Elephas maximus indicus: one gene and its partners. The protein of the gene in region 3 interacts with the protein of the main gene of each other region in a pairwise test. Links are inferred from orthologs where the notes say so. Each region holds a gene or a part of one and is shown on either strand. Other genes may lie near its edges.

What was found.
Region 1: the proteins of THAP1 (region 3) and PHF1 interact in binary tests that used the Homo sapiens proteins (3 or more experiments, as listed by UniProt). The two-hybrid records come from large-scale screens. The link is inferred for Elephas maximus indicus from reciprocal best matches to the Homo sapiens genes THAP1 and PHF1.
Region 2: the proteins of THAP1 (region 3) and tripartite motif-containing protein 26 interact in binary tests that used the Homo sapiens proteins (3 or more experiments, as listed by UniProt). The two-hybrid records come from large-scale screens. The link is inferred for Elephas maximus indicus from reciprocal best matches to the Homo sapiens genes THAP1 and TRIM26.

The regions. Positions count from the first base shown.
Region 1 is NC_064819.1:96,234,801-96,238,547, reverse strand, and holds the start of PHF1 (PHD finger protein 1), read right to left. Parts: upstream 2,406-3,747; 5' UTR 1,885-2,405; intron 1,175-1,884; 5' UTR 1,157-1,174; coding exon 998-1,156; intron 908-997; coding exon 826-907; intron 715-825; coding exon 619-714; intron 176-618; coding exon 72-175; intron 1-71. Other genes in the region: kinesin-like protein KIFC1, read right to left, coding at 3,416-3,460. UniProt on the Homo sapiens protein: Polycomb group (PcG) that specifically binds histone H3 trimethylated at 'Lys-36' (H3K36me3) and recruits the PRC2 complex. Involved in DNA damage response and is recruited at double-strand breaks (DSBs).
Region 2 is NC_064819.1:89,895,828-89,899,574, reverse strand, and holds the start of tripartite motif-containing protein 26, read left to right. Parts: upstream 1-1,051; 5' UTR 1,052-1,673; intron 1,674-3,747.
Region 3 is NC_064840.1:57,592,852-57,596,598, forward strand, and holds the start of THAP1 (THAP domain-containing protein 1), read left to right. Parts: upstream 1-1,235; 5' UTR 1,236-1,482; coding exon 1,483-1,553; intron 1,554-3,747. UniProt on the Homo sapiens protein: DNA-binding transcription regulator that regulates endothelial cell proliferation and G1/S cell-cycle progression.

The DNA of each region.
Region 1 (3,747 bases), on a different chromosome or scaffold from region 3:
GAGAGTCTGTGGATGGGGGAGTTCCCACAGAAAGGGCCAGTTCAGTAGGGGTAACAGGGAGGTACCTTTACCTTGGTGGCAATGGCAAAGACACACTGGCGGCAGACCCAGGGAGATGGACCCTCTCCCTCTCCAGGGGCTGGCGCCCTCGGAACGTGGCAGTCCTGGTGATAAGCTGAATAATGATAATGTTGACAATAGACCACTTATTATAGTGCAGACCTGTGTTAGGCACCTGGATAGGATTAGTCTTATCCATTTCAATCTTTGTCTGTGGTCCTGCTGGAGGGGAGGGGTAGTTATTATCCTTATTTTACAGGTGAGGGAACTGAGGCTCCTAGAGGTTAAGGGACTTGTCCAAGGTCATATGACTGTAGAAGAGAGTGTACTTAAACCACCTTCTACCTGCAAAGTCCACACCATCCCCCATTCCATGGCTGCCTCTCCCTGGGTTGGAACAGGGGAAGGTTACAGGGTTGAGGAGACTGGTCAGAGTAGTGACCCGGGGACTGAAGTGACCTGGGGACTCAGACTGGACAGGTAGCATAAGGATGGGTATAGGAGAAAGGGCGAAAGGCAGCCTGGAAGGCTCATGGCAAGCTGGACCAGCCTTCTCACCATGGCGACACTTCTCACAGCTGACCAGCCTGTTCCCAGGGACCACAGTCTCAGAGCGACAAACACAGCAGAGGAGTTCCTCCCCAGGGAGGGCAGCTGTGAGGGAACACAGTGTCAGGGGGCCAGCCTAAGCCTCCTCCTGCCCACCCACCCAAACCAGGTTTCTGTTTCCATGGGATGCACACTCTCAGGCCTCTAAGGTCTCACCAGGGCTAATGTCTTTCCATAAAACCAGAAACTGGGAATCATCCTCAAATTGGACCAGACACACTTCCCGAGCACTGTCCACCTGGAAAGGTGAGCACAGAGGATAAAATGGGAGCCAGAAAATATAAGGGGAATGGAAAGAAGGTGACAGCTCAGAGATCAAAACTCTTACCTTCTTGATGGTCCCCAAGTATAGCAGCCCATCAGTCCATCTGGCCAACACATCTTGACCCTCCCAGAGTCGAGGTCTGGTGCCTGAGGTGGGAGCAGGGGAAGCTGGGTCCCAAAGCGAGGAGGCACCAGAGCGGCTCAGCCGGGGGGGCTGCGCCATTGCATCCTGGGGGGGGGGCTAGCCAGGAATAGGACAGGAGAAGGTTATGAATGCTGAGAATCCTTACCCATTTTTGCCTATTTTTCTGTCCTGAGTTCAAGCAGCTTCGCCCTCAAGTTTAAATCCCTGAGACACCTGGGGCACCAGCTTCCTGACTCCAGCCCTCTCAACTCTGGTGCCTTGCTCTCCTCTCCCTAACACCTCTCCTCACTCCACAACCTCATTCACTAGTTGCCCAGTTTTTAGAGCTCCCCTGGGATATTATACCCTGGCCTTAAAATTTTAGGGGAAACGATGGTCGCAGACGCAAAGATTATTCAGTTACTGTCACCTTCCCCATGCTGTTTAGAGGTGTCATAATTGGGGTGCTCTGTTGTCCAGAAATGTTTTTGGGGAGCTTTCCTCGAGATGTTTTTCAGAGCTTCTCAGAAACGGTTGCCTCCCCAGGCCCTCGTGTCTCATTCAGAACAATCACTCTGGTGCCGGGTTATGTCAGGTCACTCTCAAATTCGGGGCTCCCTGCCCCCGGGTTAGATAACTTCCCTGAGTGCCCCCAGAGGGGGCGTGTCCCATCCCGGTCTCTACTCCCCACGACCGGCGAGTCCGAGAGAGGACTTGAGTCGGCCTGGCCAACCCGATACCCAGGCGGTGTGGGCTCTCCCGCCCGCGCCCTGCGCGCCGACCCCCGGCTCCCTGCCCCCCACCGGCGCCTCTCGCCGCCTCTTTACCGGTGACAGCTGGGGCCGCCGGGAGCCGGGCAGGAGCAGCCGTGGGAGATCAAGGCGAGCCCCTCGCGCGGGGAGGGCACGTCCGGGCGTCGGAGGGCGTGCAGGCAAAGGCCGGGGGGTCCCCAGGCCCAGCCCCTCCGTCCCGGCAGCTCTGGGGCGTATGACGCAGCAGCCAAAGCAGCGGCAGCGGCAGGAGGAGGCGGCGGGGGGAAGGAGGGGAGGGACGGACCGACTAGGGGGAGGGTGGTGGGAGGGGAGGGCCGGGGGGAAGGAGGAGCCGGGGGGGCGGGCACCACCTCACCCCACCTCCCTCACCTCTAGCAAGCCTGGAGGGCGCTGAACGCATGGCGACCCCTTCGCAGCTGGGTCGGGCGGACAGTCGGACCCGGAGGGAGAGGGAATCCCCACAGCCCCTTCCTCTGACGGGAGACCCGCCCTCGGGGCAGGAGGGAATCCCCCCTCCCGGCAGTCTGCCTCGGGTCTGGCGCCAGGCCCCATGCCACATCCATTAACTGTCCCCCCCCCGGACATGGTCACTCAAAGTCCCGCCCCTCTGACCCTAGTCATGGCCCCGCCCACCACTCACCCTTCCCCTTGCCCTCGCCACGCCCTCCCCCTTGAGTGCCCCGCCCTCCTCTCGCCGTAGCCCTCGGCCCCGCCCTCTCCAAGGCAAGTTGTCCCCCCCCCGCCGCGCTTCTGCGCACGCGTGGCCCCTCCCGCGTGCGGCACCTGGGAAGACTGAGCCCCTCCTTTACGGGGCGGTGGCCGTTGGCTGTTGGCGCGAGGGATTCGGCGGGCGCGCGCTCCCGCTTCCCCTGTATGTCCCGCCCCGGGCTTTGAGGGCTAGTGCAAGGACGAGGAGAGATAATACCAGTGACGTCACGGAGAGTCAGCCAATGAACGGGCACAGGGCAGAACCCTGGCGATTCGAACAGGAAGGCAGGGAAAGGGCGGGAAGAGCCAGCAGTTTGCCCAGTGCACGCCTAGTCCCCGCCCCTCGATTCCTGTTCCCACATCCACCAAAGGAGTTTTTCTCCCAGGGGTTGGGGTAGCTGATGGTGTGGGTGAAACGGTGGGGGTGACCATGACGGGGCTGTGGGGTAGCTAGTAGGCGCACCTCCTTGATATTTATGATGGGGGAGGGGACGTTAGGTGAGAGAGAGATGGGCCAGACCAGGGTACAGAACCACAAAGAACTGAAGGTCCCCTTCAGACTCCAGCGGGAGACCTGTCCGAGAGAAAAACTGCAGCCCTCACCCCACAAGACACACACACTTGGCAGAGTGGACAGATCCACAGTTCCCATCCTTAGATGTATGAAAAATAGCTCCCTCCTTGGGTATCTGCTAATAAAACCTTTATTTTTTTTTTAAAAAAATTCTTTATTTGATAGGCCCAGGTACAACAGCCTTCCTCACCCCTCCCCTCCCATAAAGCATCCCTCAGCAACCCTCTCCCTCAAAACACACATGGGCACAAAACTTGGGCACACATGGACAGACACACACACCCACAGGATCTGGGTCCATTTTCATTTCCTGTTGGCCTGGGCAGTACCAATAACACACTGGTTCACCTGTGGGCAGATGGACAGGATAAAACAATTTGTGGAGTAACAAAAAGAACAATTTTCTTGAGACCTCCTTACATCCCCTAATGCTATGGCTGCCTTCAGTGAATACTGAAATAGGGGTTCTGGATGTAAGCTTAGGCTTGTTCTAGTTCTAGTAAGTTCTCTGATGCCCACTAGGCACACCAACTGGTGGAGAGAACATAAGTCTCCTCGAGAATTCATGGCCACCAGCTGACCCTCATGGAGTTTGGAACCTGAGTTTACACTATTTGGAATGATCTGAAAAACTC
Region 2 (3,747 bases), on a different chromosome or scaffold from region 3:
AATAAGTGTGATCATTTTTGTCACTTAAAGGGTTATACTCTAAGATATATATAACAAGGACAAGAAATGTAACCGAGTAAGCCATTTACTTGAGATAAATCTACTCAACTGCAAAGGGTTTGGTGTTTTGGTTTTATAGGTAGACAATACAGATACCTTCACCAGTTTTGATTCTCTAGAGAGCCCGGCCTAAGATAGTGACTGCACGTGTGTCAGAGTAGTACTGGGCTATACAGGGGTTTCAACTGCTTATTTTTTGTAAATAGATCAGGTCTTTCTTCCAAGGCACCTTTGGGTGGACTTGAACCTACAACCTTTCAGTTAGCAGCCAAGCGCCTTAACTGGTTGCACCACCCAGGGACTTAACTCCTTAAACCCAGAGTAATTCCTACAAATTTCGCCAGCCCCACAGGGGAGGGACAAGCCAGGCAAGTAATAGGATTTACGGCCCTGAGCTCACCCCATCATGAACACCTTCCCCATACATAGCTGCAACCCTCTTCTCACCCAAGCCCAGGCTGCGGGGCGGGGCGGGGGGGAGCGCCAAGGGACGGATTAGGAACCAAAATCGCGACCTGTGCCCCACCCCTCTCCAGTCCAACCTTTAGGGCAGGGCACTGGCTGACCCCGAGAACCTTCCCACCCAGCTCGTAGCTGCGCGCAGTGGAGACTGACGGATTTTTATGCCGTGGTGCCTGGGAACCAGCAGCACCTGGTGGCCCAGCAACGGAACTGTGTGCCGCGGCAGCAGACAAAGCAGGAAGCAGGCGCAGACTGGGCAGCAGGGACGATTGCGCGTGGTCTGTTTCCGGGGCCGAGGGCGGCTGGGACGCGCCGAACCTGGTGAAAATTTCCCCATGGAGGACTCTGGGAACCCGAGTCCGGCTCTGTAGTTTCAGAATTCAGCGCGGAAACAGGTCTACTCCCAAGCTCTCGGAACCTCAGTTTTCGCTTCTGTCGAGTGGGGATGACAATGCCTGCTTTATTTAAGGATATAAAAAAAAAAAAAAAAAGCGCGTTACTCAGCGTAGGCGCTCCATAAATGGTAGTTAATTTTTATAAACAGCCCCCTGAGGAAATTCGCTTGCTGTGCTCCTGCCTGGTCCGGGAGGCCAGTTTATGCGGCGTTGGGGGCCAAGAGTCGGATCTCATGTTCAGCACCCGGCGAGCGCCACTTCGCACTCATTCAGCCCCAGGCCGGAATCGGAAGGCGAGGGTCTCAGGAGAAGGGGGAGATTCTTGCACCCTAGAGTCCTCCACCGGGGATTCATCGGGCCCACTAGGCCTCAGAACTCGGGTCCCTTTCGCCTGTAACAAGGGAGCCCGAAACACACGCCGAACTCTGGCGGCGGTTTTTGCTCAGCCACGTCTCGGCGAATTTCAGTTTCATTTTTTGGCCACCGCTGCCCCACACCCCTCACAATCCCGGGTATACGACCGGTGATCGTGACGTAGAGGAAATTCAGGTTCCGATTGGTTGGCGCGGCTCGGCAGGGACCAATCCTGGGGCAGGCCCGGGAGAAATCTCGCCCGGGTGCCCTGGAGAGGCCGGAGATTGCGGGGCGGGGAGGCGCTGTTGCCCTGGCTGCTGGCAGAGCACCCGGTCCCGGAACACACTGCCGCTGGAGAGAAGCGATCTTAGACCCGCGTTCGTGGCCCGAAGCCCCGGACCGGTAAGTAGGGGGCTTCCGATGAGAAATGCAACAACACAACAGTCTCAGACACGCGCCCCGGAGTTTGGGGCGACCGGACGCGGACGCCGGGCCTCGGGGGCAGGACCGGGCCGGGCTGCCGGGCAAGCTCGGAGGTGGGTGGAGTCCGCCGCGCGCACCCTCCAAGCCTAATCCCTCCTACTGCTTTTCCCTCTATTACCCTCAGTTCGCCACTTCCTCTTGGGTCTCCCTTGTCTTTCCATGTCCAACTCAGGCTCCGATCCGTGCTGTCTCTGGAGCCAGAAGTAAGCGGGGCCGGGATGACGGTCTGGTTGCTTGGAGCCTGAGAGATAGACGGCCAACCGGGCTCCTCTAACTCTGAAGTCGTGGTGTCTTTGCATTTTTTTTTTTTTTTTTTTTTCAGTCAGAATAAACCGGTTTGGCCAGATCTGCCTGGAGCTGTGCATTCATTCCTTCTCCAGCCCGTGAGCACTCCCGCTGATTTTCTCTGTGTTTGGCTTTAAGACCAAAAAAAAAAAAAAAAAACCAAACCCACCCGCCATCGAGTCGATTCCGAGTGTGTAAATTTTCCTATGTAGGGCACATGGGAGGTAAGCACTTCCCCAAGTTCCCACTACACTCCAGATTTTGACACCGCAGCAATTAGTGTGTGCATCAAAAGAGGGGAGAGTGTCGCCCATGCAGCAAATATCAGTGTCAGGCACCGTGCCTAAGCCTCATGGCTGTTAATTAAGATCATAATCCCTAGTTCCATTTTTTTTTTCCTTCCTAGTCTAAGGGGATCGTTTTTGAAAAATAGACTTTACTTTTTAGAGTATCAGGAAAATTGAGAAGATAGTACAGAGTTCCCAGATATTATCCCACAATTTTCCCATACCCAGTTTCTCCTGTTTTTAACATCTTACATTAGTGTGGTACATTTGTTGCAATTAATGAACCAATATTGATGCAGCATTATTAACTGATGTGTGTAGTTTACTTGGAAACCCTGGTGGTGTAGTGGTTAAGAGCTAAGGCTGCTAACCCAAAGGTCGGCAGTTCAGATCCACCAGGCACTCCTTGGAAATGTTATGGAGCTGTTCTACTCTGTCCTATAGGGTCTCTATAAGTAGGAATCGACTGGACGGCAGCGGGTTTGTAGTTTATTCACACTTCCTTACTTTTTATCAAATATCCTTTGTCAGTTTCATGATCCCATTCATGATCCACATTAAATTTAGTTGTCACGTCTCCTTACACCCCTCTTAGCTGTGGCAGTTTTTCAGATTCTATTTGTTTTTGATGATCTTGACAGTTTTGAGGGTGGCACAAATGGTTTGTGCTTGAGCCAGAATCGGCTCAAGGGCAGCGGGTTTGGTTACTAACCAAAAGGTTGGTGGTTCAAATCCACCTGGCAGGGCCACAGAAGGAAGGCCTGGCGATCTGTTTCCATAAAGATTAAAGCCAAGAAAACCCTGTGGGGCAGTTCTACACTGATACATAGGGGATCGCCAAGAGTCAAACTTGACTCAATGGTGACAGGTTTGGTTTAGTTTTCCTGTTGGTCAGGTATATTGTAGGATGCCCCACTATTAGAATTTGCCTGATGTTTTTCTCATGGTAAGACTGGGGTTATGGGTTACTGGTAAGAGTACCCTTCTCACCACATCATATCAAAGGTGAACATTATCAACATCACTTCTCATGCTGATGTTAACCTTGAACACCTGGCAGAAGAAGTGTTTCCCCACCCCCCCCCTTCCATACTGTAAGAAGGAAGTTATTATGTGAAGCTCACACCACACCTAAACAGTGGGGAATTATGCTGCCCCTCCTGAGAGCAGAGTATCTACATAAATCACTTAGATGCTGCAGGAGAAAGCTACCTTTCCTCTCCCATTTATTAATTTATTCAGTCATTTATTTGTATCAATACGGACTCATGAATATTTATTTGATACTTTGGTTTATCATCTAATACTATGTCATTTATTTTGTTGCTGAAGTTATTCCAGCTTTGGCCACTGGGAGTTTCCAGTTGACTCCTGTGCTCTGTCCTGGCATGTATTTTTATAGCATTTTTTGCTATTGAGAA
Region 3 (3,747 bases):
AACTTTCACCTAAAGCACAATTAAAAAAAAAAATTAACCTGGTAATGAAAGGGATGTGAAGGGTGAGAAAGACATCCAAGCTGACTCCAAGGTTTCTGGCCTGAACTGCATGGATAATTTACAGGTAATGAGAATACCTAGGCAGAACGAATTTACATAAGAAGTAAAAGATTGAGGAAGTTATGGCATTTGATTCAAGAATCAGAGTGTTCAGAGTGCAAGGAGGGCAGAGGATTGAAACCCCAACATTTAAGAAGAGCAGAAAAAGAATGTACGAGCCATTAAATTAATCAGTTGCCCCCTATCCAGGCTTTAACCTACATAGAGGAGAGGGGCGGGTACGGGAACAGTAAAATCAGGGCTGAGAATCTGCATGTCTAATAAGCTTCCAGTTGATGCTAATGGTGCTGGTTAGCAACCAATTGTGAGAACCACCAGTTGAGCAGTAGTTCTCAAACTTTATTATGTAAGAATCACCTAAGGATCTCATTAAAATGTAGATTGATTCAGAATACCTGGGGTGAAATGGGTGGGTGGGGGTGTAAATGCAACTTCACAGCAGGGGTCTGAACCGGAACCAACGGGTTCAAAGCCCTGGGTAAAACCACTCTCCACGTGGAAATCGCTGCTGCCAGTGGCGATTTCCAAGGCAGCGCCTGGGAACCCTGCAGCAAAAGCCAGCCGCGGGAAACGGAGCCGCTTCCAGAGAAGTCCAGAAAGAGGATCCGGCTGGTACGTGGGGGCTGTGCGTGTGGCTTCTTTCATCGCTAAGAATCTGTCACATGGACTCTCACAGATCCTTGAGATGCCTGTACAGACAGGTAATAGGATACAGATTAGGGGTCAGAAAAGGGGTCCACAAAATCGTAAAATCGTCTGTGGCGTACCTTTTAAGAAAATGGGCTCAATTAAGACTTTGCTCCCCAGCCTCCTTTAGGCCACCAGACCCAACAAGCTGTACTGGTCCCACACTCCAAGCCGCCCCAGGAAAGCTCCGGATAAGTAAGTCTACGGAAACTCCACGACCGACAGGAGCTCGGCCCACGGCTCACCTTCGCCCAGCCCCTTCCCCGCCCCCAACGGCTCCCTTCCTCCCGGCAGGGATCTCGGAGGCCCCGCCCACTTCCGCAACGCAGAGCTCGCTGCGCGAGACGCCAAGCCTCAGCCAATGGCCTGCTCCGCAGGAAACGTTACCTCTGACCTCGGGGGCTAATCAGAGGCAGTGGGACGAACTCCTCGCGATAAGTGAAGTTGAAGCTGCCTCCGCCATCTTGGAGATGGGAGACGGGCGATGGCTGTGGTCTTTCTGCTAATGCAAACAACAAAACGGGCACATTAGTCACACCCGAGTGAGGCTATCATCACTTTATCTGTTAACCAAAGCTACAGAAGAAGCGAGAGTGTCAAAATCGACCGCGGGGATATTGATAGCTTCACCTGCCTGCGGTGGCGGCAGAAGTGAAGTGACTGAGTACCGGAAGGATGGTGCAGTCCTGTTCCGCCTACGGTTGCAAGAACAGATACGATAAGGATAAGCCCGTTTCTTTCCACAAGTAAGTACGCTGCGCTCCTCACGGGACATACCCCAGGTCGGGCTAGGGGCGCGCGGCCGTTTAGGTTCGGGGGCGGAGCCCGGCGCGTGCCCGCGCGAGGGGTAATGAGGCGGGCGGGGAGCGGTGGGCGTGTCCGGACAGGGAAGTGTTGGGGAAGCGCCGCTCCGAGGCCGGCGCTTTTCGGTTCCGGGCTGGGCGGTCTCACCGCGCGTCGCCATAGCGACCGTTTCTCGCGCTCTTAAAATCCGCGGAGAAGGCAAGAAGCGCTTGTGGCTTCGGGTTGGCGAGTTCGAGGCCGGCTCATAGCGACAGGGGAACTGCCCCATAGAGTTTCCAAGGAGTGGCTGGTGGATTAGAACTGCCGACCCTTTGGTTAGCAGCCATGGCTGTTAACCACTGCGCTACTGGGGCTCCACAAAAAACAAAATAGAAGTTACTGTTTTTGGTCCTTCAGAAACTACTGGGAACGGGAGGCCAGAATCACAACAATTGAGGATTAATTTTTGACTGGAGTTTTAGGGAAGATTTTTTAAAAATTGTACATATGTATGTAATAAGTCGCTTGCTATTTCAGCATGCTTTACAATTTCAACATGCATGTACTGTTTCAACATGTATGTACAACTCAATTACACTAGTTACGTTTATTATGTTCAACTATTACCATTATGCATTTCCAAATGTCCCATCACCTTTAACAAAAGTTTAGTATCTGAGGGAGGATTTTTTTGGCTCAACATCTGGGAACCAGCCTTCACTCCTGTCTGAGTCATCTAGTGCTGTTATAACAGAAATACCACAAGTGGATGGTCTTAACAAAGAGAAATACATTTCCTCACAGTAAAGTAGGCTAAAAGTCCATATTCAGAGTGTCAGCTCCAGGGTGGGTCTTTCTCCCTCTGTCGGCTCTGGAGGAAGGTCCTTGTCCTCAGTCTACCCCTGGTCTAGATGCTTCTCAGGTGCAGGGACCCCGGTTCCAAAGGACGTACTCAGCTCCTGGTGCTGCTTTTTTGGTGGTATGAGGTCCCCCTGTCTCTCTGCTTGCTTCTCTCTTTTATATCTCAAGAGATTGCCTCAAGACATAACCCAAACTGGTAGGTTGAGTCCTGCTTGGCTAACACAACTGCCGCCCATCCTCCCTCATTAATATAGAGGCAGGATTTACAGCATACAGGAAAATCACACAATACTGGGAATCATGGCCCAGCCCAACTGAAAACACACATTTTTGGGGGGACATAATTCAGTCCATGACAAGTCTAAAGTTTTAGAGAACACTTGTGGCACTGCTGAGATGAATAATTATCTTTACAGCACACAGTAATCGTAAAAATGGACAACAATAATAACCTAGACTGCAATAAAGTACCATAAAGTCAGTGTGATCTCTATGGGAGCATAGAGAAAGCCTTCACAGAGGAACGCACCGCACAGCTGAAATTCAGGACTATTTCACCCAGTAGGTGCCACAGTTATAGTACTACGGAGGAAAGTAGGAAAAGAAAACTGCAAAACTGAAATGAGGTAGTGTTAATTAAATGGCTAAAAAATGTGACAACAGTTTCATTCAGCCAAGATTAGTATTTACAGATTTTATTATGTTTGCATTATATATTTTTTTGCAAGAATTCCTGAATATATAGGGATGATACCTAAGAAAGTAGAGCCAATAGTAAACTATACGCATTGTTGAGTCAAATAATTACAAAAGCAAATATTTAAGCATGCCTTCAATTTAGGGAGAGGGGGCTGTTTATGTTTAATGGAGGACTGGATGGATTTTTCTGTGTTTGATATAACATGGGTTGGACCCTACAGAAATAGGAGTACCTAGAGCATAGTGTTGCTATGAATCAGAATTGACTCCATGGCAGTGGATTTGGTTTAGTTTTAGAGCATAAAAAGATCTTGAGAGTGTTAATATTTTCCCATGAAGAAGGGAATAGAACACTTCCAGAATTCAGTTCAGTAGATTTGATCAAGATCAAATCTCTTGATTTATTGGAATCTCTGAACCCTGATGAAATTGACCTCCAGTACTTTAAAATTATAGGAAGGGCCAGGAGATAGTGACAAGATGTCATGCATTCTGCCCCCACCTTCCTAATGATATGGCAGAGGGAATCTATACCCATTGCTGTCGAGTCAATGCCAACTCATAGTGACCCTATAGGACAGAGTGGAACTACCCCAT